Linked DNA regions of Schizosaccharomyces pombe. The protein of the gene in region 1 binds, or shares a complex with, the protein of each later gene. Each region holds a gene or a part of one and is shown in the gene's direction. Other genes may lie near its edges. The genes, in order: cft2 and ssu72.

Region 1 (5,087 bases):
TTTAAGGTTGAAATACCTCTTGACGGGTTTGGCAGTGTGCATACTCGCCTACTGGAAAAACAACAGCGTTAGTAACACCACCCAAAAGCCAGTGGAGTCAAACGATTTAGGCTATTTTGAAATTGAATTTAACGGGACTATGGCGAGTTCTCGACTATTAGACTGGATGTCTCGTATGAGGTCTGTTCCTCAACTAGAAAGGCTTATTCCAGCTCTGTATTTAGCGCATGGATGTAAGTATATTGAATCAACAGAAATTTATATAGCAGACGCATAATATGCTGAGTTAATGGAATTTGCTGACTGACTTCATCAAACTATCTCTCAATTTCATATAACTCGATACATAAACACTTTATTGATACTAGAATAACTAAAAATTGTTTAGCTCCATTTTTGATGTTACCACAATCATCGGATGATGAGGTTTTCAGTAATGATTCTAAGCTTGGAGGGTTACATTATCAGTTTTTAGAACAGTTAGGACCCTTTCTATTGGAAAAGTTTAGACCGAAGGGAATAATCGTCTTTTCTGCACACTATGAGTCTCGTGGATCAGTTGAAGTATATTCGAGAGACGATGAAAACCCACTTTTTTATGACTATTACGGATTTCCAGATTATTTATACCAGATCAAGTTTCATTCCAAAGGCTCCAAGCGGATAGCCGATCAAATAATTTCTGCCCTTAAAGAAGTATGCCAACGCAGAATCTTTTCTGTTTCATAGATTATTGATGCTAACCCAATAGTACCAAATTCCAGCAAAAACTGTTTCAGGTGATCGTGGATTGGACCATGGTGTTTTTGTGCCATTCAAAATCATGTTTCCCGATGGACTTAATATCCCATTAATAGAGGTGAGCATGCATACCCTAGATCCCATGCAGCTATATAAAGTAGGACAAGCATTGCAAAGTTTGCGGAAGGAGTATTTGATAGTTAGCGGAGGACTCAACATTCATACTTTCGAAGACCTCTCTGCATTCAATGAAGATACGGCAGCTGATGGATATAAAGAATTCCAACTGGATATTCTAAAAGCTATTGAGACTGATAAGGTATGTATGTTACTTGTCGTTGAGGATGAGTGCACAATATTTTGAACTTCTTGTACTAATTTCGAACCTATAGCAAAATGATCGTCTGAATAAATTATTAGGATTACAGCTACACCCTTATTTTCGAAAAGCACACCCACGCGAGGAACACTTTGTTCCATTATATGTCGCTGCGGGCCTAGGAAGCTCTGGGAAATCTAAGGTCGTTTGCGACCTCTATGGCGCCGTCTCTGCTTTTTTTGGAATCGATGAATGAATCAATGTCTAATTTACAGTTATTTGTTATTACAGAGTGATAATTTAAAAGCTAAAAATTATTTTGATAATTCACTTAATGCTTTCAGGACAATTTTCGATTTGATGAACCATTTCCTAAAATTAGCGCATTTTGAATAAATCGCCAATTGATAATCTATACCAGTCACTTATAACTCAACTCCTTACATGGTATATTTTTAATTAATGATGTTACCAAGAAACCGTATTTAATAAACATCCGTCTTTGTTAATATATAAAAATTACGAAGCCGATTTATCCAATATGCTCGTTGAATGATTTAGATTAACTAAAGATTTAGTTATAATAAAGACATTAAAACTGGTCAATTTAGAAGATTGACAAGTTTTCATATTATAGTATCGCTTGGATATATTCTTTCTGATAGCCATCCAACCCCCACTGTTTACTACCATCGAGTTGTAAAGTCCTGTCTTTGGGCAATAACCATGCTCAACTATCAATGTTTAGAGACAGACTCCTATTGTGGAACATCTCATATTGAGTTAGATGGAATTCATATCTATATAGACCCTGGCAGCGATGATTCATTAAAACATCCGGAAGTACCCGAACAACCAGATTTAATCCTTTTATCTCATTCGGATTTAGCACATATAGGAGGATTGGTTTATGCTTATTATAAATATGACTGGAAAAATGCGTATATATATGCTACTTTACCAACAATTAATATGGGTCGGATGACTATGTTGGATGCAATAAAATCCAACTATATTTCAGACATGAGCAAAGCTGATGTAGATGCTGTTTTTGACAGCATCATTCCTCTTAGATATCAACAACCCACATTACTTTTAGGTAAGCAATTGTTCTTGTGAAAAAAGTCTTTTGAACTTTTGATTATACTAATTCATGATTTAGGAAAATGTAGTGGGCTAACCATTACTGCTTATAATGCTGGACATACCTTGGGAGGAACTTTGTGGAGTCTTATAAAAGAATCAGAAAGCGTTCTGTACGCTGTTGACTGGAACCATTCTAAAGATAAACATCTAAACGGCGCTGCCTTATATTCGAATGGCCATATATTAGAAGCTCTCAATCGACCAAATACTTTAATTACTGATGCTAACAATTCACTCGTATCTATCCCTTCCCGTAAAAAGCGTGACGAAGCTTTCATAGAGTCTGTTATGTCTTCTTTGTTGAAGGGCGGTACTGTTTTATTACCTGTAGATGCCGCTTCTAGGGTATTAGAATTGTGTTGTATTCTAGATAACCATTGGTCTGCTAGTCAACCGCCTCTACCATTTCCTATATTATTCCTTTCCCCTACATCAACAAAAACTATTGACTATGCTAAAAGTATGATTGAATGGATGGGTGATAATATAGTTCGTGATTTTGGGATCAACGAAAACTTATTAGAGTTTCGAAATATAAATACGATTACAGATTTTTCTCAGATTTCTCACATAGGACCCGGACCCAAAGTGATCCTCGCTACCGCGTTGACTTTGGAATGCGGATTCTCTCAGCGAATTTTGTTAGATTTGATGTCTGAAAATTCAAATGACTTAATACTGTTTACACAAAGATCCAGATGCCCTCAAAACTCACTTGCAAACCAATTCATCAGGTATTGGGAACGTGCTAGTAAAAAGAAACGTGATATTCCTCATCCAGTCGGTTTGTATGCTGAACAAGCTGTCAAGATAAAAACGAAAGAACCTTTGGAGGGGGAAGAATTGCGATCGTATCAAGAACTTGAGTTCAGCAAGAGAAATAAAGATGCGGAAGATACCGCTTTGGAATTTCGTAACAGAACCATATTAGATGAAGACCTTTCATCATCATCTTCTTCAGAAGATGACGACTTAGATTTGAATACAGAAGTTCCCCATGTGGCTCTTGGATCTTCTGCTTTCCTAATGGGAAAGTCTTTTGATTTGAACTTGAGAGATCCTGCTGTCCAAGCTTTACATACCAAGTATAAAATGTTTCCATACATTGAGAAGAGAAGGAGGATAGATGAATATGGAGAAATTATCAAACATCAAGACTTTTCTATGATTAACGAACCTGCTAACACATTGGAATTGGAAAATGATTCAGATGATAATGCTTTATCTAATTCTAACGGAAAAAGAAAATGGTCCGAAATAAACGATGGTCTACAACAAAAAAAGGAAGAAGAGGATGAGGATGAAGTTCCTTCTAAAATTATAACAGATGAAAAAACTATCCGAGTTTCATGTCAAGTTCAGTTCATAGATATTGAGGGTCTGCATGATGGACGTTCTTTGAAAACTATTATACCACAGGTAAATCCTAGAAGACTTGTCCTTATTCATGCTTCAACTGAAGAGAAAGAAGATATGAAGAAAACGTGCGCCTCTCTCAGTGCTTTTACCAAGGACGTTTACATACCCAACTATGGTGAAATCATTAATGTTAGTATCGATGTTAATGCATTCAGTCTTAAATTAGCAGATGATCTTATTAAAAATTTAATTTGGACTAAAGTTGGCAATTGCGAAGTTTCACATATGCTGGCTAAGGTTGAGATCTCTAAACCTTCTGAAGAAGAAGATAAAAAGGAAGAAGTTGAGAAAAAGGACGGTGATAAAGAAAGGAATGAAGAGAAAAAAGAAGAGAAAGAGACACTTCCTGTTCTTAACGCCTTGACTTTAAGATCAGACTTGGCAAGAGCGCCCAGGGCTGCTCCACTTTTGGTAGGTAATATTCGGCTTGCCTATCTCCGTAAAGCACTTTTAGATCAAGGAATTTCTGCTGAATTGAAAGGAGAAGGTGTTTTATTATGTGGGGGAGCTGTTGCCGTAAGAAAACTCAGTGGTGGTAAAATATCCGTTGAGGGCAGTTTGAGCAACCGCTTTTTTGAAATTCGAAAGTTGGTTTACGATGCACTTGCTGTCGTTTAACTAATGTATGAAAAAAAAATTTAATTAGGATTACATAAAAAAAAAGCTAGTAACTAGAAAGGATTCATGTACAACATAACTAATAAATGTTTGGTAATAGAAACGGAACGTAAAGCTTTATGAAACAATCATTTTCCTGCTTCCCCTCTTTTCTCTTTCCATTCAACATTCCCCGTTTGTCTTGCTGGCAGGTCAGTGTTAGTGGGCGTGGCCTGGGAAACAGGACGCATATAACCATCAAGTTCATCTTTTTCACGTTTGTCTTCCTCCTCTAGAGCCTTACGTTCAGAATCAGTTAGTCGGGACCGAAACTCAATATTAATCTCATGCAAAGCCTGTTGTAGGACAGATTCGGGGCATCGATCACGAGGAAGACCATTCTCAGGGTGACGAATATATCTATGCGATACATCGCGAACACTATCGACTATTTTTGCATTAGTAACAAATAAAATTAAAACCTTTTCCGTACTCCCAAAACCCAAACAATATGACATCTTCTTTCCCCAACCTAATGCTGTTAGAAATCAAGTTTTTCAAGGAGTTAGAACTCTACCTTGTTCGTATATCAAAGGTTCATCGAATGATTCTTCACCACTATCGACATGCACCCAGCGTTGCTGTTTATTACTATAGACTTCCGTCCACACATGGTCCTCAGCATTCCAAATCCACCTAGCTCTAGATCCAAGTGCTCTGCATAGGAAAGTGAAACACTAAGAAAATGTTAGCTTTATATATTTATAAATATTTTTAACTCACGTTGGCCCACTCTCCACATCTTCCCTTCCTTGAATCAAGCAATGCTCGAATGCGATTATACCTGGGAAATCTCTGATTATGC
Region 2 (3,206 bases), on another chromosome or scaffold:
GTTTTGTCAGTGTTAGTGGTTTTAATTATGATAACCGTAACAGCTTTGACATTCTTCATAGCAGACGAATAATTGAGACTATTTGATCACAATAACTAAATTAAAGCTCTATTTTGAAGCGAAAGAGAAAAAGAAATATAGACTGCTTACCGTTTATTAAGCCTGAATTGCGCGATCAGTTAACTGAAACATATGGTATATTAAAAAGGAGAAGTCTGTTTGGCGTAAAGTCCAGCGAACGAGAAAAGCTTTAGAAAAGGGGAACGAAATCACTAGATTAGGATTATACCGTGACGCTGCAAGATCATCGTCTACTTATGGGAAGAGCCGATTTGCCAGTTAGCACGTATGGTTTTTCTGACGGATTCTTTGTATATAAAACATGTGAATATGTTTCTTTTGATATAGAAATAGCATCTACGTCTTTTACTTATTGGATATGGTTTGCATGCATTATAGCAACGTAGTCCTTCTTTGCATAATATGATGTGCCTTTACATTTTCTTTTTTTTTTCTTATTTACTGACTATATTTAAGGCAAGTCACTAACTGTTTCGATTCGCAAAATTAATGAGTACTGTTGAATGTCATATTTCACTTTAAGAAGCTTACTGAGTGAACCTGATTTTTGTATTTTCTACTAACGAAAAACTGCATTAACCACACAGTAACTTTATAGCTTTTCAAGACAAAATTACATACACCGATTTTATTTAGGCTGGTCATATATTTTTCAGTATCCGCGATATCTTCAACTAAGCTAATCATTATTGTCGTAAACGTTTTACACACGATCAGACAAAATTAAAAGGTAGCTAGGGTTTTGTCTACAGTGGTACTAATTCAATAACTGAAGTTGTATCCTTTGGACAAATGCCTAAAGTCATCATTTCGCGTTGAATTAAAATTGGTTAAGTTATGCAAAATATATACTAAATCGAATTTATTGAAACAGTCACAAAGATTGAAGACCTACCCTATATAATACTCAAAACTTGGAAATCTTAAGCGATAAATGAAATGAAAGAGTATGGTATGTACGAAACTACTCTAAGTAGATCAGCTCAAAACTTAATGCTTCATACGCCAGTTTGTATGTTTGAACTTTATTCATTTTGAGATTAACAGCCAAGAATTGTTGATTGATCCAACCGCAAATTTTGTTTGACAATACAATGATTTCTCACTAATTTTATACGGCTTTTTAAAGTGCTGGCGATGAGTAGTTTTATTATTAATATTATAATAAGGAGTTTTTGAATTAGGCATAATTTTGTAAAGTTAACAATCATTAATGTAGTATGGGTAGTGGAGTATAGACGTATTTATTCAAACCCTATCTTTGAAAAATTGCTATCAGACGAATACAACGTGGAGAATTTTTATTTTTATAAAACATTTAAGATAATTAATTAAAGTAGAAATTATACTCTGCAAAGATGAGATTCATTTCAAGAGCCTCTGCTTTTGTGATGCAACATATCGATATATCGCATCGTAAAGCAGCGTGGTAATTTTGAAAGGCTGTTGCTTACAGCGTGTCATATTGTATACACTGCAAAGAACGAGTTTGGACCTTTGGCTGTATGTCTAATTTAGTAAGATAAAAATCTTGCAATAATAAAGAAAGGAAAGTAAAACCTTTTAAAGCCTTACCAACGTTAGTCAGTAAACAATAATACCAAATAATGGCTCCCAAAACCAACCTCCAGATCAGTGTAATTTGTGCTTCGAACCAAAATCGAAGTATGGAAGCTCACAACGTCTTAAAGTATGTCATTTTTGAATTTTATGAGGTAGTTTGCTAATCTCCATTGAAGGAATGCTGGATACCAAGTTGATTCGTTCGGAACAGGTTCAGCTGTACGGTTGCCGGGTCCCAGTATTGACAAACCTAACATTTATCAATTTGGGTATCCATATGATGAAATTTATAAAGAGCTCGAGGCCCAGGATTCCCGGCTATACACGGCCAATGGATTGCTTAAAATGCTTGACCGAAATCGCCGTATAAAGCGCGCTCCTTGTCGGTGGCAGGACCAAGATTCCATATACAACATTGTAATAACCTGCGAAGAAAGATGTTATGATGCCATTTGTGAGGATCTGTATCGTCGAGGTGAAACATTGAATCGACCTGTGTACTTAATAAACGTTGACATTAAAGATAACCATGAGGAGGCCAGCGTAGGTGGAAAGGCCATTCTCGATTTAGTCAACAAATTAACCGAGGCACAGGATAAATTGGAAGAGCTGTTCCCTTCTATAATGGCCGACTTTCAATCTAACCATCCTAAACTTCCTGTATTGTATACTATTCATTTTTTTTAATATCATTTATCGTTACACGTCGTTATCGAATTTAATAAAGCATGTCCTTTCTCCTAGTATATCTACAACGTTCTAAGTAATAAACACAGTAAATTGGCAAGGACGCAAAGCTGTCAGTAATATTTTTAGATAGAAGATTTCTCTTCGCACTCGTTTGCCTGTTAATGTGTTTGGCAGTACATTAGGCATTTTAAAGACTTTTTCTTTAAAAATTTAATTCACAGAAAAATTATATCAAATTAATTTAGGGTCCAGCACGTCCTTGCCCATTGTATTAGTACAACTGCCTTAAGTTAATTTACACAGTCTATCTTTTTCAAGTCAGCGTAAAAGAAAGGACATATCATTTAATTCCCTGAAAAAGATAGAAAGCTCATTTTTTCCAACTTCTTTCCTCAAATCCCTAGTCTTAAATTTGCTTTCAAACTATGCAAAGTATTATTATTCGTCAATATCGGTTTTTAGCTCGTTACTTAGAGCCTGAATTTGTTAAAGGTATGTTAAAAATTGGTTTAAAATTAAGCTGTACAATTGCTTTGACCCACGGAAACAATGTAATCACCTCTAACGCTATTTTATAGACCCAGCCCTAAGGAACGCCAATGCGAGGCCACGTGAAAAGCTTCAGCGTTTGTCTCATATTCAGTTCAGTGAACTTTTAACAGACGTTGCTGATGAACTACAGCGTAGGATCAACAATGATCCCAAAGGTATTTTGATTTACACTCTTATGAGTCTACAATTCTAACCCCTTATAGTCAGATTCTTACCTCCTGTTGATTCTTATCATCCCAAGCGGAATCATGCTCGACAAAAACTTTCTAGTCTTGCTCCTACAAGGCTTCGGGATCTTTGTATGGATGTGTTTTTTGAAG

What was found.
Region 2: cft2 (region 1) and ssu72 share a complex: the UniProt entries of both Schizosaccharomyces pombe proteins name them as parts of the cleavage and polyadenylation factor (CPF) complex.

The regions. Positions count from the first base shown.
Region 1 is NC_003423.3:1,127,125-1,132,211, reverse strand, and holds cft2 (mRNA processing protein Cft2), read left to right. Parts: upstream 1-1,738; 5' UTR 1,739-1,786; coding exon 1,787-2,159; exon of another isoform or gene 2,160-2,222; coding exon 2,223-4,243; 3' UTR 4,244-4,258; downstream 4,259-5,087. Other genes in the region: SPOM_SPBC1709.16C (aromatic ring-opening dioxygenase), read left to right, coding at 140-233, 389-696, 752-1,060, 1,134-1,316; ngl1 (peptide N-glycanase), read right to left, coding at 4,372-4,670, 4,716-4,754, 4,800-4,959, 5,006-5,087. UniProt on the Schizosaccharomyces pombe protein: RNA-binding component of the cleavage and polyadenylation factor (CPF) complex, which plays a key role in polyadenylation-dependent pre-mRNA 3'-end formation and cooperates with cleavage factors including the CFIA complex and NAB4/CFIB.
Region 2 is NC_003424.3:3,175,613-3,178,818, reverse strand, and holds ssu72 (RNA polymerase II CTD phosphatase Ssu72), read left to right. Parts: upstream 1-1,557; 5' UTR 1,558-1,688; coding exon 1,689-1,771; exon of another isoform or gene 1,772-1,820; coding exon 1,821-2,331; 3' UTR 2,332-2,392; downstream 2,393-3,206. Other genes in the region: spa2 (GTPase-activating protein), read left to right, coding at 2,760-2,826, 2,913-3,041, 3,090-3,206. UniProt on the Schizosaccharomyces pombe protein: Processively dephosphorylates Ser-5 of the heptad repeats YSPTSPS in the C-terminal domain of the largest RNA polymerase II subunit (rpb1).